Lepisosteus oculatus: one gene and its partner. The protein of the gene in region 1 purifies or fractionates together with the protein of each later gene. This does not show direct contact. Links are inferred from orthologs where the notes say so. Each region holds a gene or a part of one and is shown in the gene's direction. Other genes may lie near its edges.

What was found.
Region 2: the proteins of nop56 (region 1) and fbl purify together in Homo sapiens (affinity purification with mass spectrometry; 6 studies listed by BioGRID and IntAct, counting the BioPlex papers as one, with this or other methods). This does not show direct contact. The link is inferred for Lepisosteus oculatus from reciprocal best matches to the Homo sapiens genes NOP56 and FBL.

Annotation. Positions count from the first base shown.
Region 1 is NC_090698.1:69,130,303-69,140,065, forward strand, and holds the start of nop56 (nucleolar protein 56), read left to right. Parts: upstream 1-5,330; coding exon 5,331-5,358; intron 5,359-5,558; coding exon 5,559-5,606; intron 5,607-5,680; coding exon 5,681-5,895; intron 5,896-7,744; coding exon 7,745-7,834; intron 7,835-8,285; coding exon 8,286-8,400; intron 8,401-8,674; coding exon 8,675-8,842; intron 8,843-9,173; coding exon 9,174-9,372; intron 9,373-9,763. Other genes in the region: uncharacterized protein, read right to left, coding at 641-807, 1,193-1,391. UniProt on the Homo sapiens protein: Involved in the early to middle stages of 60S ribosomal subunit biogenesis. Required for the biogenesis of box C/D snoRNAs such U3, U8 and U14 snoRNAs. Part of the small subunit (SSU) processome, first precursor of the small eukaryotic ribosomal subunit.
Region 2 is NC_090722.1:9,614,235-9,624,773, forward strand, and holds the start of fbl (rRNA 2'-O-methyltransferase fibrillarin), read left to right. Parts: upstream 1-6,423; 5' UTR 6,424-6,580; coding exon 6,581-6,590; intron 6,591-8,755; coding exon 8,756-8,911; intron 8,912-9,585; coding exon 9,586-9,735; intron 9,736-10,126; coding exon 10,127-10,221; intron 10,222-10,539. Other genes in the region: kcnj21 (G protein-activated inward rectifier potassium channel 4), read left to right, coding at 2,960-3,363.

The DNA of each region.
Region 1 (9,763 bases):
CTCACATTAGGAATTTGTCTTTTCGCAGACCCCAGCCTGCTCTCCGTGAGACGCACAGACAGGGAGAGAAGCTGGGGGTCAGAGCGTAGGGTCAGCCGTTTATACAGCGCCCCTGGGGCAGCTGGGGTGAAGGGCCTTGCTCGGGGGCCCAACGGAGTAGGATTCCTCTGCCAGCCGCGGGATTTGAACCGGCAACCTTCCAAGCCACAGTGCCACCACTCTGCCCCTAAAAGCTTACAGCACCTGGTATTCCCAGGCGGTCTCCCATCCAAGTACTGACCAGGCCCGACCCTGCTTAGCTTCTGAGATCAGACGAGACGAGACGTGTGGCCGTAAGCGACCACCTTATATCCTGTTTTGTTTTTCCTACCACCACAATCTTGGGCTAAACACACTGTTGCGGCAGGTACAGAGAGATGTCAGTCCCCAGCTGTGGACAAAATCTCAGTTTCATTCCTCATCCAGCAGCAGACGCTCCCACAGTGAAAAGCACCTGAACTCCGCTGGGAACTCAGCTTGGGAATTTCTGCACAGGAAGGGAAAAAGTACCTCCTGCTGGTTCACTAACGTCTGCCAGCAGAATCTTTCCGCCCGGATCACCGAGCCTCTGGTATCGCAGTGCGTGGGGGGTGAGACTGACCTGGCAGCGCAGTGCAATGAGCTGGCACAAGGGGGCAGTCACCAGGCCGCTGCAGGGCCGCAGGCAGAGCCGCCGCAGCTGCGGCACCAGGAGGAGGTGGAGCGCGGCTCGGGACGCTCGGCGAGAGGCGCACACCACCGCCAGGAGCTCCTCCACCAGCTCCCCCGCTGAAAACACACAGGTCGGGAGTGAGAGAGGGGTGTCAATGCGTCACGCATGCGCGAATGAGGCAGCGAGACGTCGCGGGAGAGGGAGGGGGAGTTCGGCGAGACATTACGGGAACACAAGTTTGCAACGAGAGAGACCGAGCCGAGCAGCAGGACGCAGGGAGAGTGAGGAAGAGGGCAGAGAGAAGCAGGAGAGGACAGGAACGCTGCCGCGCAGTCAGACCGCGTGAGAGAAACAGGGCCAGAGGTGGACAGGCAGAGACCCAGAGCCGGACAGTCACCCCCTCCCACAATGCCAGATACAGAGCCGACAGCGTGATCGGGGAAAGACAGGGCAGGCAGGAGAAGCTGGCCGCAGGCTGTCGGACAGGCAGGGGGCGCTCACGCAGCAGGCTGAAGGGGCCCATGACGTAGCGGAAGCTGTAGCTGTCCATGTAGTTCTCGGCGTAGTCCCGGGCCCACAGCTCCCTCATGTTGTCCGCCAGGCTGACGAGGCACAGCCTGACCAGGGTGCGCACCTGCCCTCTGCTCCGGCCTTTCTCGGCCTTCTCCCTCTGCCACTGAGGCCCACGGAACAGTGGCATCTCCGGCCAGCAGGCGGCGCTGTGTCACACAGACTGACTGTCAATTACCGGGAGCAGACCCCCCTCGCCCCCTTAACACTCGCGGTCCGGGGTTCGTCTGTCTCACCTCTATGATGGAGGGGCGTGTGGGGCCACTCTAAATACTAGATGAAGGCTTCCTTGGCATGAGTTAATTGACAGCTCTTTGATTTAGAAAACACCTTCCTCTCTCCATCAGCTGTTGAAGCGCTCTGTACCGTGCTTCAGTCAAACTGAACCCTGGACTACCCACGCCTACGTGTCTGAGGGGCATCTCCAGTTGTACGCTTTGAACTTCGTTGAACTGTACGCTTTGCCACCCCCTGTCCTGCCATTTATGTCGCTGCTGACTGCGTTTAAAAATAAAGATTTGTTTCGTGTTCACGGAGGAGAGATTTCTGCGGTTTCTTACCACACCCCACGTACAGTAAGCCCAGGAAAAGCACACATGAGCCTGGTAACTAGTCCGTATCCAGGTAGGAGGTATAGGTGGTCCCTAATGTTCCTCAAACCAGTTATTACATCTGATATAATGTCGCAGAGTGTCGAGGGAAGCAGTCTAAATCTCTAACCCAGCAATACATGTTAACCCCTGTATTAATTAGGAATTCAACAGAACGCCTCCTGTAATAAAACTTACATTTGTATCGCGTCTGATTTATTTTGTTTCACGTCACAGGTCCGTTTTAAAACACAGAGAACATGAGGGGCGAGACAAGACCTTGATTACACACCTTTACAGGGGGATCTTGTCTCTGGAGAGTCTCCAAACGTAAGTGATCGCGTCTCACCTCCTCGCCGACCCAACCGGTGAACACAAAGCTCTTCCGGGCACGCCTTCTTAAACCTGTATAAGCTGTCCAGGTTTATGACATTTTAACCGTGCCGCTATATGCTGACGGGAGCTCCGGAAGAGGGGTTTGAGAAAACACGGGCGATGACAGCGATGGCGAAACTATGTAAAAAGTCACGTCCCGTAGAGAAGTCAGTCCGCGCTCCTCCTCTGATCCAGCAAGACTGTTCCGCATCCCACATATCCTCCAGGAAAAGATGCACACTAAACGGGAGAAAAGCGAGAAAGCAACCGCACCTTTTTGATCTGAACTCATTGCAGTACCGCCGCGTCGTTTTTTTTTTGTGTGTTTGTTCTGTGTATTTATTTCAATACCCCCTGCTTGCTACACGTTGAAATTCAAACTCGATGATTTGCCAGTGGTGACCACAATGCAGTTTCCAGGAGCGTGGAACGGCATTTTCTGTTCTTTTCCAGCTTTCTTGCGCGTTTTCCCCCAAACTGAACATTAATTTATTTGACTTTGGAACAGCGCAAACAGCAGACCATATAAATACCCGTGTGTGTCTGACTGGTAACTTGCTCTCTGCTCTATCGCAGCTGTAAGGATTCATTTTGTAGTGACCACTCTAATAAGCTTTTATTGATCCACATGAAATCAGAGGGGAACTCTGGGGGCTGACGAGCTGGCCAATGTTTAACACCGAAGGCAAAAGAGAGAAGAAAAGTCGCAACAACAGTGAGAAGTGTAGGAGTCGAGCAGGACGGATTTAATCACACAACCGGAAACACCCTCCGTTACCAAGGGGATAGTTTCTGTTCGCTCTGTACACATTATTCCAGGGACTGGCTGCTGTTGTTTGAAGTGTCTTGGGTCAAAGTGCTTTTCGATTACAGATCTCAAAGCGGGGTCTTCTGCAGGGTTAGGGTGAGGTATGGTTCCATTATGAGCAGTCAAATGAGAGTAAACTCATTCTTTTCTGAATGACATATACTGGACAATGGTTTTTCTGAACGTCATTCACAAAACTTTCCACTTCGTTCAAATGGCAGTCGCCTGAAATTCACCCCAGCCTCGTCAGAATTCTTAGCAATTATCCGGCTAATTAGGTATTTAGACCAGCTTCGTAACTGAGACCGTGAGGGGAACAAAATCCGGAAGACACTACATTCATCAGGAACTGAGTCTGAGGCCCCTGGGTTAGAGGGCAGTAATGCTTGTTGGACTGTTGACTATAGTTCCAAAAAACTGAATATATTTGTTCTTTGAGCAAAGTATAATGCACTTTTAAGACAAGAAGGTAGAGTGATGTTACCAGATAGGGGACAGGATGGAATGTTTTAAACTTACACCGAAAGATATGAGTTCATGAATCAGTGCTTACAGCCCTGTGCGAGTAAACATGTAGTGCTGTAATACTGCAGCTGTTCACTGGTGCTCCTAACAGACAGACACTGTAAACAGCTGAGCTGCTGCTGCTCTGTGCACAGGTGTCTTTCCTGTTGTGATATAAATTCTCTAACTGGGACAGTTTTATACATTTGCTCTCAAATCTTGAAAGAGATTAATGGTATTACACCTAGCATCAATTTAAAGTTTATTTTCATTCTGCTCATACACAGGTGTATGGTATAACGAAATGCTATTTAGCTAGCTCAGTCAGCAGGGGATTGTGGGAGTGTGGACCAAGCTACCCAGCCATGTGGTTGAAGCGGACGCCTTGCTTCTTTCTGGAAACAACTGACTGAGACCCTTGGGTCAATTACCTACCACCAAGTGAATGGTGAACAGCTCCTCTCATTTGTAATCTGTTTTATGTCCCAATGTTCTTAACCCTGTGCACAATTTTACTCCCATTCAAATACCCGGTATCAACCTGTGCAAATTTCACAACTTCCCTGATTCACGTCTGCCGCCTGAAAAGTAACCGAGTGGACCTCCCCAGAAGAGAAATGACCGCCCGTGTCTGTTCATGCTTAAATCTATCACCTGGTGGGAGCTGTTCAGAGCAGACTCTTAATGAACGAGTAAACGTTTTTTCCCTGCCGAACAGAGAAGAAAGAAAACACAACGTTTCGGCCGTGGAGCCTTCTTCGGGTGTGAGCAAGCTGGTTTAGTAAGAGAGGGCCCAGGGCCAGGCCCAGGGAGGAAGAGAAGGAATGACGAAGAGATCTAGAAAAAGATTTGGAGGAGGGCATAGTGGGTCGCAGCAGGTTTAGGTTGAAGTAGTTCAGGTGGCTCCCTGCGTCAGCGGGTATAGGCTGCAAAGGAACAAGTAAAGGTTTATTCCCCGCTGAAAAGAAAAGAAAGAAAAGCCCAACGTTTCAGCCGTGGAGCCTTCTTCAGGTGTAGGCAGGGCTGCATAGCTGCAGTACTTCAGGGCCGGAAGAGTTCTTGTTTTCCTGCCCCTTGACATCTTAAGAGACAGATAAGACTTTATTGATCCCGAAGGGAAATTGATGTGTTACAGCAGCCCAAAACAAGCAAAACGAACAGACATCAGGATAGACAAAAAATTAGAATACGTACAGTAATAAAAAATAAATATAAAATAAAATAAATAAATAAAAATGACCAAATTGAACTCATTAATTGCTTAATTAGAGGTGCTGGAGCCTCTCTTTGTCCTTAAGAAGTTGGGTTTGAGGGTCTCTCTAACCTGCGGGACAGTGGCCTGTGAGGACAGGGGTGGGTGCCCCCAGCCAGCGGGCCAGGTGTTTACCCAATGAAACAGAACATGCAGTGATTGCATTCGTCTAGAAAGCCGTGGGATTGCGAGGAACAATCAAGCCACACAGAGGCTCATCAGATCAGATCTTATCCTGTTTCCCAGGCGTGAAGTGATCAGACAGCACACGGCTCGCCCTCCCCTGGATAAACGCCAGTGCGTCACAGCTCCTGCTCCCAGGCAGGGGGTAATGGGGGCAGAGTTTGTCACGCGAGGGGTGACAGCTGTGTCTGCAGCGGGGACTCACTCCCGCACGCCGTCAGCCACGAGTCCAGGCTCACGCCCACACACACCGCGGACAAGTGTCCTGGACGTCCAGTCACCTGCCAGCATGGCTTTGGACAGTGGAAGGAAACCAGAGCACCTGGAGGAAGCCCCACATGAACACGAGGAGAACATATGAACCCCAGACAGACAGCACCCCAGGGTGGGCATTGAGCCCCTGTGCTGAGAGCTAGCAATTACTTTATTTATTATTATTATTATTATTATTATTATTATTATTATTATTATAGGCAGTAGGCAGTCTACAAACACACCAATCAACACACGAATTGGAGCTGCAGGGAAATACGTTTTGTGCATCTGTATGCTTTGCTGTGTGTGTGACTTTCAGTTGTCTTTCAGAATTAAGACTGCAGAAAGAGACCGGCGTCCTGGTGGAATTTCAACCAGGTGCGTGGTTTTTTTTTAGTGTTGCATATATTCAATTTTTTAGCATAGGATCTGTCCAAAATCTCGCTCTTCAGTCAGGGCGAAAGGATGTGACGGTAAACGTACAGCAGATGGCGCCATGGAAACCCATCTCTCCACCCTCCCCTCCCCCAGCTCTTGTTCTCGCGATACTTCGAAGAGCCAGGGGGCGGGCTCGGGCACGAAAGCGAGGTGGGGCGGCGCGCAGAGCACCTTGGGAAGGAGAACAGGCAGCACGAGAGGACGGAGCTGCGCCGAGGGAACAGCAATGGTAAGACTGCACGTGTGGGGAAGAAAATAACTTCACTGCGCAGACCGAGTCAGCAGGTGCTTTTCAGTGAGGCAATACAGTGGAGGTATTGCTTGTGCGAAGGAACTGACGGAAAATACGTTTTCTGGCTCTTTAGACGTAGCCGGCGGAGATGCGGGTCACACGCAGTCTGGAACAGTGGCCCCAGTCAGGGTGTTGCTGTTGCAAAGCAGTACTCGGTAGCGGTGTAATAAGTAGTATGAAATAGCTGTATCTGTGGGAAGTTACATATGGATGAAAAAATCAATATTTTTTATCAGATTTCTGCAGATCTTCGGTTAGTTGCATGCTAGCTCACAGCTGCTCGGGGCTGCAGCTAGGCCCCAGGAACAGAAAACGATATCTGACGCGGGGCACGGGCCGGGGAAGTCACAGTGCTGGGAAAGAGCCGCAGTTAAAACCCCTGCACCGCGCGCGCTCTGGAGCCCGGCTCGTGCTCGGAGCTGGCGCCGGCCCACGTGTTGCCCTCTCGCTCGGGAGCGGCGGTGGCGGGGCTGCTGCTGCACCATCCTGGGCCCGTCAGGGCTGGAGAAGGACCTGGGGTACGCAACACGAGGCGCTTGTTGCGGGGGGGTTCTGGCGCGGGCCTCCGTCCCGTCGCCACGTGGTGGGGGGGAGCGGGGCGCGCACGTGGCGACGCGGACCCGAGCGGTTTCCTCTGAAGCGCCTCCAGGGGCGAGTTTCTGGTACAATTCCTCTCTTCCCCCCCCCAAAAAAAACCGAATGAACCGAGGAGTGTTTTCATGGCGTCTCTCGGCGGTGTACGATCCTGACAGGCAGAATTCAAGCCTCTTTCCCGGGGTCTGAGTGCGGGGGTTGAGCACGCCGTGATGCCGGACCCACGTGGTTCCGGCGCGGTGCGGCCATGAGAGAGAGGCCTTACAGAATGAAATAGTTCGCGCTTTTCTTTTTTACACGGGAAAAACCTCGCTGTCGTTGGACTAAAAGCGCAGTGCCCTCTGGCGACCGCGGTGCTACTGGGAAATGACAAAATGGGAACAAGTAAAGGGTTATTTGCTGCTGAAAAGAGAAGTTACGTTTCGGCTGTGGAGCCTTCTTTGGTGGCTCCGCGGTGAATCGATCTTCTCTTTTCAGAAGGGAACAACCTTTGCCTTGTTCTTCTGCAGCCTGCGCATGCTGACACGGCTGCCTACTTGAATGACAAAATAGTCTTCCTTTCTGCAGTACCTCTGATATCACGAGGAAGGGGATGAGTCCCGTTAACACGCAGCATGAACACGCATTTGTAGTTTTTTGTTCTTATGTTAATCAGTAGTTCTTCCGCTTTCTGTCCCGGTCTCTTTTGATGTGGATCGTGTCTTGACTCTGTAGTACACCAAGGTGTCGGTTAATACCGACAGTTTGTGTTGGAGGACTCCCCCTGAGATCTGTCACCATGAATTACAGCTCAATCCTGCGGCTTGTCTAGGCCTCTGCGCGCCCTCCTGTACAGATAGGCAGCGGCTGTCGCTGCCCTTACAGTGCTTTTCATCTCCAAGCTCTTCACCGGGGAAGTAAAGCAGAGACGGGGGTTTTAAAGGCACGCTGCTGCGTGGTGTAATGTGGAGCAGGCTGGTCTTGCACTTCGTTATTTCCAGGGTGCGTCTGAATATAGAGGGGAGGTGATTCACACTGAGGTTCGCAGCCCAGCTGGGAGATGCGCTGGCGGGTCAGAAGGGGGCGCCAGACCTGCTTGTTCCAGCGAGTGTAGGGAGATGTCAGGAGCTCGGACGGAGCCGGGACACCGGTGCTGCTGCTGCTGCCTGCTGGCCCGTGGCGTGTGGCCTCACCCCCGGCCCTCTCTCCGCAGGTGCTGCTACACGTGCTGTTCGAACATGCGGCGGGGTACGCGCTGTTCGCCGTCAAGGAGGTGGAGGAGATCGGCATGCTGCTGCCCCAGGTGAGGCCCTGCCCTTTGACCCCGCCCCAATCATAATGACACTCGGGTGAGGGTGTTTGTCCTCCACATGTAGCCTGAGACTGTCATTATCCATGGGCTAGAGACCACTGCAGTGCAGCTCTGCCCTGTGGTCGGACACATACCCTTGTTCTGTGCAGAAAATGTTGCTTGTGGTTTTTACCATAACTGCTTACTGCATGACTCATGGGTGTGAGGGGCAGAGGTGTTGGGTAGGATTTCAGATTTATAAAGCACTTAAAGTAGAAGGTTAATGTTTGCGGTCAATTTTAGCATCCCTGGTGTTCTAAAGTATTCGGCGTCAGGCTTTTAATGTTCACAATTAAGGATCCAGCAGCTGAGAGCCCCCTGTACAGCGTGCTGAGTTCCCAGGGCTTGTGTGACTTGCGATTTTAAATTCCGAGATGTTTGCACGTGTGTTTTCTGTCACCAGGTGGAGGAGAGTGTGCTGAATCTGGGGAAGTTCAGCACTGTGGTGAAGCTGGCGGCTTTCTCTCCTTTCAAGTCGGCCCAGGCGGCACTGGAGAACATCAACGCCATCTCTGAGGGTGAGGCGGGGAGTGCCGTGTGAGAGTGATCAGGGAGACTTGAAGGCGGCGAGGGGCGGGGAGAGTCCGTGCCCAGATGTGGTGATGTTTCTGTAATCTGTCAATCCCCTGATGACCACGTGATGTCAAAACTACAAAGCTGAACATATGGGCTGTTTTTTTTTTTAATGTGGGACCCCCGTTTCCTCACTGTGCCTCCTCTGTGTGTGTGTGCGTGCCTGCCTGGTCTATCCAGAAGCGAGTTTCCTCACTGTGCCCCCATGTTCCTGTGCAGGCGTGGTGCACGCTGACCTGAAGCTGCTGCTGGAGACCAGCCTACCGGCTGCTGGCAAGAAGAAGAAGGTTGTCCTGGGGGTGGCGGATGCCAAGATTGGGGCAGCGCTGCAGGAGGAGCTGGGGCTGTCCTGCCAGGCCGGGGGGGTTGTGGCCGAGATCCTCAGAGGTGAGATTTCCTGGACAGTCTTATCTTCGTACAGCCTCACAGGAGCAGACGCAGCATTTAAAAGCTTGGTGCTTGGTCTCTAGTGCTCCAGTACAGCGTAGCCTGTGCTGTAGAACGTAGACTGCCTGATTTGTGGTGATGTTCCAATCATACTGATCCCACTGATGCCTTCATACTGAAAAACTGAACATTCGGGCTGGGCTGTGCTGTGCTGTGTCAGCGGTGCTGGATAAGACCCCTTTCCTCCTGTGCACATCAGCCCTTCTCCTTGCTGCTCTCTCTCCCTTGCTCATGGCCCCACGGCCGCCGTTTCTGGCTCTTGTGCCTCCAGGGGTCCGGCTGCACTTCCACGCCCTGGTCAAGGGTCTGACCGCCCAGTCCGCCTCCAAGGCCCAGCTGGGCCTGGGCCACAGCTACTCGCGGGCCAAGGTCAAGTTCAACGTCAACAAGGCCGACAACATGATCATCCAGTCCATCGCCCTGCTGGACCAGCTGGACAAGGACATCAACACCTTCGCCATGCGCGTCAGGTCGGTGTCCGCCTCCCTGGGCAGAGGAGCCAGTGAGACTAGGAAGGGGTTGTTTCTGATTTTCCCAGAGGCCTTACCCTGTTTGGGGGAAATGTTGAAATATGTTAGGCTGTAACTGGGCCACGGGCTCCGATTTCTTTCTAGCTTCTCGGGTTGACGCCATTTGTCCAGGTTTAAATCGTTGAGATGTCCGATTCGTGCAGATGCAGGGGGAGGCGGGGTTGGAATGGCCGGGCGTGTGCTCGTGTGCTGGTCTCAGCTCTGCCCCCCCGATGCCCTCCCAGTGCTTACCACAGCCAGCGTCCCTCCAGCGCTGTCTGTATAGGAAGAGGAGGAAAAGCGAGACTCCCGCGCCCCCCCCCACACGGAGCAGGACTCTTCCTGGCCTCTC
Region 2 (10,539 bases), on another chromosome or scaffold:
ACTGCTGTCACGCTATGACACGCTGACACATGATTCTCAGTGTGAGGAGCCCCACAGCACAGCAGCTCACGCTGACTGACAGGACGTGGCTAGGGAGAACGCAATTCAACGCTACTCCAGCTTGAAAAGCGTTCAGGGACTCATCCCCGTCTGCGGCTAACAGGCTTTCCCGTCCAAATCCCCGTTCCATCCCGCGATGAGCTGACAGGAAGTCAGCAGCCAGAAGACGGGTCTGAGGAGAGCCACGCGGGACCCGTGCGGAGATCGTGACCGCTTACCAGAACAGCGCGGCGGCTGCTGTCGTCTCTGAAGCACCGGGGTCTTTCCAGAACTAGGCTGCGTGAGATCCTGAGGTCGGCTCGCTCCTCGCCTGCGAGCAGGCTGAACTGGGTGGAATAATCTCCTCTCGCCCGTGACCGCTCTCTTGAAAACATGACGTCGGACCGCAGTAGTAGACGATACAGTAGGTTGCACACGGGCCACGCAGAGCAGCTCAGAAGTCCGTAAATATTAAAAACAGCAGGAGAAAGAGTACAGTACGTGTAGTAACTACAGTACTACACGTACTGAATTGTAGTACAGTACGTGTAGTTACTACAGTACTACACATACTGAATTGTAGTACAGTATGTGTAGTTACTACAGTACTATCCGTACTGAGTTGTAGTACAGTGCGTGTAGTTACCATACAGTCTGCATGGGGTGTTTCAGAGGACCAAGGTTCAGATTCCAGTGTTACGCCTTTGCATTAGCTGAGAAACTCTCCGATTCTTTCAAAAACTCGGGCCGAATTCTTTTAAAAAAAAATCCCAATTCCTAATCATATTCAACCACGCCTTGTTTTCTAACCTTCGGGTCTCATTAAGTCTCAGGGATGTTCGCAAACAGAAATACTTAGTGAATGACAAGTCCCGACGATCCCCTGTTAAGATGGGGACAAACATCTTGAGCAGGGAGAAATCCCCCGGACTGTGGGCCCGGAAGGCACAATGTGCTCTGGAAATATCTGCTCTACGGGCTCTGAGCTGGGCTTATGAAGCGGGATGCTCTAACAAGGGAAGATAAATAATTAAATTGCCAGCAGGCATGAGTGCTATCCAACCCCTAATCCCTGTGCGGCATGTTTCTAATACCAGAAAACTGGTAGTATTGATCTGATGCGTTAGCCAGACAACTCCAGGGACATGAGTGGATAATAGATCTGGCTGATCGGACAGATCGGACACCTGATCGGCAGCCCATCGGTTCGGCTGCTCATTACGAACCCACGCAGCTGCTTCTAATTAGAGCCCCGCGCACCCCCTCCCAGTGGGTCGTCCTTACGGGGTCCTTACAGTGACCGATGCTGCAGTGATAGAAACTGTCGCACGTCTTAAAGGGGCATCTTAACAATCAGTCATGGAAAGGTACCGCATGAAGCCTCCTGTTCGGTGGATTCTTGGAGTGCTCCTTCTCGGCTGATGTTGTTTTTGGGCTCCAAGGCCGACTCAAACCATCTCTGACTTGTGCCGCCTGTCGATTGAACCTCTTGCTCCTTTGCTCTATGGAGTGGTGGTCTCGGAAGTTTCAGGGTGCAGGTGGGCAACTGGCAGTGGGCTGGAGCGGCTGACATCATCCTGAGCAGTCAGTGTCTCCAGGCAGAAACCGCTTGAAGTGAGAGGTGGGGGACACATATTACAGTCGCACAGCATTCTGAAGCCCGCAGGTGTCACTGGCTTCCTTCCTCCCTTCCTTCCACTTGACCCTTGAATAATCCTTTCAAAGTGGCCCAAGCAGAGACACAGAAATTAAACGACCCAACGTAACACTGGATTTCAAACATTACTGCTAAGAAACTGAAATTTCGGTCCATTTAAATATGCTAATTCCATATCGTGTTCAACGGTCTTACTTTTCTCTTTGCTTTGGTTAATATCTCGTGGAAATGATTTACAGAAACACGGAGGCGAAAAGAAACACTCCTCGTGTGATCCATGAATAGAAATCAGGTTCACAACAAACAGCCAAATGCCCTTTCCTGTCAGCGCAGGGGGGGAGACCTCACTGCACGAGGGAGCTGTTGGGAGGTGTTCTGCGCTCTGACAGCAGGTCTGCCTCGAGGGTCAGATCATCTTCACAGCGCTTAAAGCTCCTGAGAAATTGCATTCCTGTTAATTTGGAATCAAAGTAATTGCATGCCAACGCCTGTCATCCCCAGTACTCCCATCACCCATACAGACAGAGCAGCTACAAGCTGTGTTCTCAGCGTTAATCAAGGATTACGAGACACGCATTCACAGCCACTGTGTACTAAAACCGCATTTCTGTCATGGCCTGCTCACTGCTGTATGTATGGAGGCCTCTGTATGGTTTGTGAAAGGAGAACTGGAACCCTGTGTCTTTGATTAATTCAATAGAACACTTTAACTAAGCCGTGAAACACGGAATGTTTAAGCAAAACGTTTCCATTCTCCTTAATTGAAAGTTAGCTGATTGAAAAGATTATCAAAACTCGACCACCCAACATAAAACTAAAACTCAACCCTTTCTGCTAAGAACTGTCATGTAGGTCCATTTAAATATGCTAATTCCATATAACACTCAACGGTATTACATGGAGTCTGGTAGCACTTAAGAATACAATCAGGTTAGAAGCAAGAGGCAGGCCACTGGACTCGGCATGTTAATTTGGCTGCCAGTCGCTAATCTGATACTTCCCGGTACCTCGGTTTTGAAGAGACATCAGTGGTTTGTCAGAGTAAATGATTAAACTGAGCGCTTTGTCCTCAGAATGTCTTGACGCTCAGGAAACATCTCAAACCAAGCCGATGTCACATGCCCTCCTCTTGCTGCTCGGACGGATTGAACAGTGGTCTGGTGCATTTGCAGCAGGGTAGAACTATTGGGTGCTGACCCTTGACCTTTGACCACCCACCCACCCACCTCTGACCTTTGACCTCTTGCTCGTTTTTGCCGGCAGGGATGACGTGCCAGGCGCGCAGCTCCTACCTGGACTCGGAGGTCATGTGGGGTCAGCGCTTCATGCCGGTGCTGACCCTTGAGGAGGGCTTCTACGAGGTGGACTATGACACCTTCCACAACACCTACGACACCCCCACCCCCTCCTGCTCGGCCAAGGAGCTGGCAGAGCTGGCCAAGAAGGGGGAGGCCATCCCCCTGCCCCCGGCCGACCCCCCCAAGCTGGCCACTGGGCCGGGCAGGGACACGGAGCTGCCGGAGGGACCGGGGACGAGGGCCGGGGAAGAGGAAGAGGGAGGCGGAGGAGAGGAGGAGGAGGTGTTCAGGAGGGACTCGGAGGAGGGGAGAGGGGAGGCGCAAAATGTCACCAACGGGGATGTCAACAAAATGGAGAATGGAGAGTAACCCCCCCCCCCCCCCCCGCCCCCTCCCCCAGCAAAAAATAAAATAAGCCCCCATATGCCCCTTTCCGTAAAGCAGAACCACACTGCAGGTACTATAGCAGCTGCAGAACTTGCTTCTGAGACGACTGTGTCCTTCTTTTATTTCTCCTTTGCCTTAAGGTTTGAGCGTGACGCACGTTCACCCTTTCGCAAAATCCATTCCTGTCCGTGTCCGCGCCCAGCTCCCGGAAGTCCGTCGGATGGCATGTCCTCCTCTGCAAAGGGGATCTGTATCAAAATCTCAAAAAAGCTCAATAGATTTGGCGTCTACATCTTTGTGCAATTTTTTTTCATGTTCTCAGTGCTTTTTTGTTCGCGGGTCATTTATCAAGTCAAAAGCATGCGTATCTCAGGCCTTCAGCCAAAGGGTTTGCAGCCAGAGCCAGGTGACATCACTTTGTGTCTGGTCTCCTGCCCCACTGACTCCAGCAGATGGCTGGCGTTTCTGTTACAGATGCCCTTTCGCCTGCAGGCTCCCGCAGGACGCCGAGCTCTGGGCGGACCACGGTCAGTAATGTCTCAGCCAATCGCGTGCCTCCACATGGGGAATCTTGATCCTGATTGGTCAGCACTTCAGCCAATCCTATCACCAGTACTTGTCAGACTCCTGTGGGTTCTCAGTGACATCAGCAAGCAAAGTGCTCCAATCAGTACTGGCTCTCCCGTAAGGCACTATGGAGCTTGTGATGTGTCCAAAGACAATAGAAAAATATTTGGCAATTCCAAATTGAATACTTGAATCACAAAGGAACAGCCGGTTCACTTCTGATAGCAGCTTTTTTAGCAGGAATAAACGTATGTTGAAAGCACATCTGTTCAATCCTTATGCATATAACTGGTCCAATTAAGTCACAAGAGAGCTCAGATGGACCGCTAACCAGAAGACCTGCTGGGAAACATCTGTCAAGGGATTCAGCTGAACGGTGAGTGGAAACAGAATTTGGAAGCCAACACAGACGTGTGTGCTTTATCATAAAGGAGAGAGCCTCCTGAAAATTGCTGTCTTTCACTGTGCCTCCACCAGAGACTTCAGAAAAGAGATTAAGTCCTCCCACATCTGCAAAGTGTCAATGAATGAAAAACTAGGCTGGCTGCTTATAGTTATGGTTAATGATTCAGTCACAAGACTATGTGATGAAGGGATTGTGACAGAAACAAGTGCATCAACTATTCCGTGCTGGATCGCTAGATATTTTTTTTCTTTCTGACACAATCTCTATACAATAGCATCTTACCCCAGCTAAAAGTGCCACCTTGTTTATTGGTCATTTGTTCCTGTTAAGCTCTGCCAATACAACTCCATGGTACTAAGTGCCACTGACCACTTACACAGATCATCGCCCCTTTTCTCCGAAGACGCTATCAACACATCTACTGGGTGAGCTGAAACAGCAGCTGTAATATATAAGGTTTTAAGGGGGCTGCTGGTTCAAGACCTCCACGCTGGGCTGTGTGCCCCTGATGCACTGACGCAGTAACCGATCCCTCTAGCGCCTCAGTGTTTTGGATGAAAGCTGAAAGCGACGAGCCCGCCTTGGTCAGCCCCTTGTCCTCTGCCGGTCACTCCGGCTGAAATCATCGTTAACCGGTTGACTTTCAGGGTGCACTCCTGGCTCTGCAATCGGCCATGCCGCGCCCTGAGCAGGAAAGCCGCTGTGCGGGGACTGAGCGCGGAAGAGCCTGTTCCTGGAATCCGCCCTCCGGTGACCAACGATCCGGCCTTCGTCTGCGATCGTCTGAACCCCGGAGACGGGCCTGGACTGCAGGATCGAGCGGGCCTGTTTTAGGAGGCCCTGAGAAGGATGGTTTCATGTTAAGCAGACGGTGCAGCTTCGTGTTTGTACTGGACAGGGCTAAATATCTGTCACCTCTTTAGCAGAATCTACTCTTTGTGCCACTAAACCTACAGTAATCTCAATCCATGATGGGGCTTCAGCAAACAAAACTTATTTCTGCTGTGCCATATTACATTGTCATAAAGCAGTGTCTTTTCTAACAGATTCATGGAGCATATTATTATTATTATTATTATTATTATTATTATTATTGTAGTGCTGTGTTTTAAGTGTTATCCAACAAAGCTCAAGCACAATTCTATTAATCAGGTCTGTAAATAAAAGTATTATTGCTGAAAATGGGTTCCTCCGTGCTGCGATCACCTTGTTCTGGCTGCCTTGATGAAGCTCGGTGTCCCTCACTGCCCTCGTTCGTATCACTGCTTTAATGTGTTTAATGTTCTTCGAGAGAACTTTGAAATATCAGTCTAGTCGAACTGTAAAAATAAACAGTTCTGAGCCACCCTCCCCCCCCGTCCACTAGAGGGCGACCCAACTGCATTTCAAAACACCTAAAACATCATAGGAGAATACTTTTATAATCACATCGCCATCATAAAGAAACTGATAACGATACACAAGAAGTAACCATTTCGAAACTGTAAAAAAGGAGTATAGCATTTAACAATTCATAAACCTATCCCACTGAACAAGATCCTGTTCAGTTAACACTTAGGACTCACTGAGCTTGCGCAGATCTTTGAGGCGGCACAGTAATTTAACAGCACAAAGTCTCATTTGAAATCCATGGTGGAGCTTTTTTAAAAGGTAAAGCGTACTAGGCTTACGTGTAAGCTTCAACTAGAGTAAGACTGAATAAGTTCCGGCCACAATAAGATGTTTTAAGTGCACGGAACAAAAAAAGTTGAAGATGGTTTCAATGGGTTTCAAGTACAGGTTTCGAAGACAAAAAATTCCGAAAAATAACAAGTAATAGGTTTATTCCATGCTGAAAAAAAGAAGAAAGAGAACACAACGTTTCGGCCGTGGAGCCTTCTTCAGGTGTCGTATTTCCAGTTGTATTTCCAAATATACCAAAATACCAAAAGCTGTATTTCCAGTTCCCGAAACACAGCTTTGTGGGGGACCCGAGGTGGAGAGCGGCCTGCAGTGTGTGTCCTCCGAGGTAGGGGGCGCTGTGGGCGACGCCGGCGAGAGGAAGCGCTCGGACGCGCGGGCTTGGAACTTCCGCCGCCGGCCCATGTGGTGCGGACGCAGCACGTGTGAGCAGGAGAGAGAGAGACAGCGAGCGCCCGAGTGCGGAGGACGGAGAGCGGAGCGGCGACACAACTCATCCGATTTCTGCGCCCAGGTCGTTGCAGCGATACATCCCGAGACGCGAACATGAAGCCAGGTAAGCAGATCCGCGATCCTCTGACGCGTTAAAAGGGGGAAAAAAAAAACGACCCGGGAGGTAAAAACACGGAGCTCCGCCGCTCCTGTCCTCCGAGTCTCACCGGGGCCGGAGACAAATCACCCTCCGAAAACAAAACGTGATAATAAAAGGCAAAAATGCCTTCAAGCGCCGTAAAGACCACCCGCTCCGAGTTTGGTGTCTGCCTTGTTCGGAGGCTCCTATTTTCTTAAGTCGCATTTCGAAGTTAAAGCCAGCTGGTTCGTGCAGAAGAGGAGAGTTTCTCGGTGGCGGACGGGGGGTCGTGGCCTGCGCACGCCGGAGGTTTAGGATCTGTTTTAGGCTCATTTTAGTAACTTCCAGACGATTACTTGACGCGGCGTGCACGATTTAGACGGAATTTCAACAGTTCCCCGCTGTTCCTGTTGCCGTGAGCAGCTGGGACGCTAGTTAATGTGTTTGTATTGGGCGCAGCGTGCTGGACTAGTTCGTCGCTCAGTTTGGATCCAGCGTTAACTGATGTTTTGGCTTGGATTGCTGTCGGCCCTGTAGCTCTCTCCTGCTCGTGATTTGAGTTCTGGCGTGAATTTCGGAAGGAAGCGGGTGTCTTTTGGCGTTAAGCGAAGCCAAATGCCAAAAAAACAACAACAACAACAACACAACGATTGCGATGGCCGTTTTCGTGCGAGGGGATCGTTTTCAGTGCCGCGGCCATGTGCTTGGTGTGGGGAGACGTGGGGTCCTTGTGAGAGCGCACAGACCGATTCCTTGCATGCTCGAACTTTTAGAAAAACGTCCGATTTAAACGTGCGCTTCCTAGCGATGTTCCAAAGTCTGTAAAACGAAAAGCGTCTTCTAGCGCTAATTGTGATCGATTACGGATCGGAGAGGATCTCCCGGGCTCGGGTCAGTGTCTCGCAGTTGAAAAGTAAGTAAGGGAAGTAAGAGGAGCCCCTTTAGTCCGTCAGCTTAACAGCTAATTGAACCCAGGACCTTCTTCAGCTGCTTTTAATCGGCTTCAGCGACGTGGCTCGGCGGCTTGTTCCACACCCCTACCTCCCTCCGTGTAAAGAAAAGCGTCCGGTTCTCGCTTTTTAAATGCCCTTTCATGTCGGGTTCATTGGCCCCACGTGGTACATGTTTCGCAGCTGCTGACGGTGATGTTGACACTGGCGTGTCTGTCGAGGGCGAGGCGCACGTGTGCCGGTTTAGTCGGGGTGTTTTACCGCTTCGGTCGGGGTGCCGCACCCGCACAGGACAGCAGCTGCACTGTCTCTACCTGGGACTCGGACCCGCAGCCTGTGCGAGTCAGCCGATGAGTCCGGTGGCCTGGCCGCTGCCCGTTTTAAACTATTGGAACTCGCGCTTTGCAGACCGTTACAGTGTCCAGTCAAGGAGCGTGTCGGCGGTCTGGTCCTGTGTCTAGAAGACAAGTTAGTGAGACAGGAGAAGCTGCCGTCCTGCAGTGTGGTTTGTGGGGGGGTGGGGGAGGACTTGTGCAGCTGCACACTTTGGTGTTGCAGTGCTTCCCTACATCGCTCCCAGGGGTGTCCAGCCCTGGTCCCGGGCAGCTGGAGTGTCTGAGGGTGTTCTTCCCCACTGAGCTCTTGAGGAGCTGAGCCGGCTGAGTGCTGATTTAACTGGGCCAATTGCACAGCCTCTCCTGGCTCTCCAGTCGATACTGCCTTTAAGAGACCTGGAGGGCCAGTCAGTGTGTCTGCAGGCCCTCTAGGAGCAGGACTGGACAGCCCTGCGGACGCACTGACCGGCTCCTCCAGGAGCAGGACTGGACAGCCCTGCGGACGCACTGACCGGCTCTCCGGGAGCAGGACTGGACAGCCCTGCAGACACACTGACCGGCTCTCCAGGAGCAGGACTGGACAGCCCTGCAGACACACTGACCGGCTCTCCAGGAGCAGGACTGGACAGCCCTGCAGACACACTGACCGGCTCTCCAGGAGCAGGACTGGACAGCCCTGCAGACACACTGACCGGCTCTCCAGGAGCAGGACTGGACAGCCCTGCGGACGCACTGACCGGCCCTGCACACGCACTGACTGGACAGCCCTGCGGACGCACTTGGACAGGCCCTGCGCTGTGTGGTTCTCTCGGGCGGCTCTACGATGGGGCGAGTAACCCCCTCTCCTGTGGTTCTCTCCCGGCAGGCTTCAGTCCGAGAGGCGGGAGGGGAGGATTCGGAGACCGAGGAGGAGGAGGAGGATTCGGAGACCGAGGAGGAGGAGGATTCGGAGGCCGCGGACGAGGCGGGTTCGGGGACCGAGGCGGTGGCAGGGGGCGTGGCGGCTTCAGAGGCGGCCGAGGTAAGTGTCTCTGACCCGGGGGGGGTGGGCACACCGCTCGAGTGTCCAGTTAGCGGGGGGCTCGTCCCCTCCAGGATCACAAGGACGGGGACCTCAGGGCGATGAAGAGGCCACTGGGGGGGTGAGATAGTTGGTGCTGCAGTAACATCCCTCCCTGACGCGCCCCAGCGGCTGCCCCGGGACGTTTTGAAAGAGCCCTGCTACACGGGCCTCTGACGGGAATAGTGTGGTTTAGGCAGGACGTTTCTCTGGGACCCCCAGAAAGGCCTTTCGGTTGGTTGTCAGTTTGTCGTTTCCGTGTCCCAGCATCCTCGGCAACAGTGGTTCTCGAACCGAGCGTCTCCTGGTCTGTTGTTCCCACCGAGCCCTTCGTTAAGCTGATTGATTCAGAGAGCGGCCCAGACCGAGCCGGAGGGCGGTCGAGCTCTGTCTGGTCAACCAGGGGCCGGCGTTGGTGAAGGACACACCGGGCAGGAAGGTCGTGGGGGGCAGGAGAAGAGGTTCAAGCAGGGAAGCGGGAAAGGAAAAAAATTCAAGGGGCTGTCGGGTGGGAGGAGGAGCCGGACGCCGGGCTCCGGGAATTGGGGCGTGCCGGGCTCCTCCGGGGCGGGTGCGGTGTTCTGGGGGTTCGGCCCCAGCGCCGCCGGAGGTCTCACTGGGTTTTCTCTCGGCAGGTGGGGGGTTCAGGTCTCCCGGCGGCGAGGGGGGATTCCGGGGGGGCCGCGGGGGCACCCCTCGGGGCCGAGGAGGAAGAGGGGGCCGCGGCGGCGGCGGCGGCTTCCGGGGCGGCAAGAAGGTGACGGTGGAGCCCCACAGACACGAAGGTAGGGTCTCCCCGAACCGGTGGCACCGCTCACTGCGAAATAACAGCAGCTGAATTTCAGGCTGGGCAGCATGGTGGACAGCAGTTAGCACTGCCAGTGAACAGACCAGCTCTAGTGATCTGAAGTACGTCTGCCAGCGATCGCAGTGTCTTTGAGGTATACGATTAAAATACAGTAAGTTCTGCGGCCTGCTGACTTCTCAACGAACCGCCCAGTGCTTTTTAGCAGCCCCGGTCAGGTCGTGCACGGATGAATACGTCATGTAGAAGATGGACTTGTATGTGCACGCAGCGCCGGGCCCTGGGTTCAGTCCTGGGGTGCCGTCTGCATGGAGTTTCCTCCCGCAGTCTGAAGGCGTATTGATGGGTTCGTTGGCTCCTGTGCCCCTCAGGCGTGTTCATCTGCCGCGGGAAGGAGGACGCCCTGGTGACGAAGAACATGGTGGTGGGGGAGTCCGTCTACGGGGAGAAGAGGATCAATGTGGAGGTGGGTCGCCCGGGCACTGTCCTCCCCGGCCCCGCCCCCGTCTGTGGTTGCCTGGGCTCTGTCCTCCCTGGCCCCGCCCCCGTCTGTGGTCGCCCGGGCGCTGTCCTCCCTGGCCCCGCCCCCGTCTGTGGTCGCCCGGGCGCTGTCCGCCCAGGCCCTGCCCCCGTCTGTGGTCGCCCGGGTGCTGTCCACCCCCGGCCCCGCCCCCGTCTGTGGTTGCCCGGGCGCTGTCCACCCTGGCCCCGCCCCCGTCTGTGGTCTCCCAGGTGCTGTCCAGAGTTGCGCCCTCGGGTGTTGTTGATGAAGACGGGTCTGCAG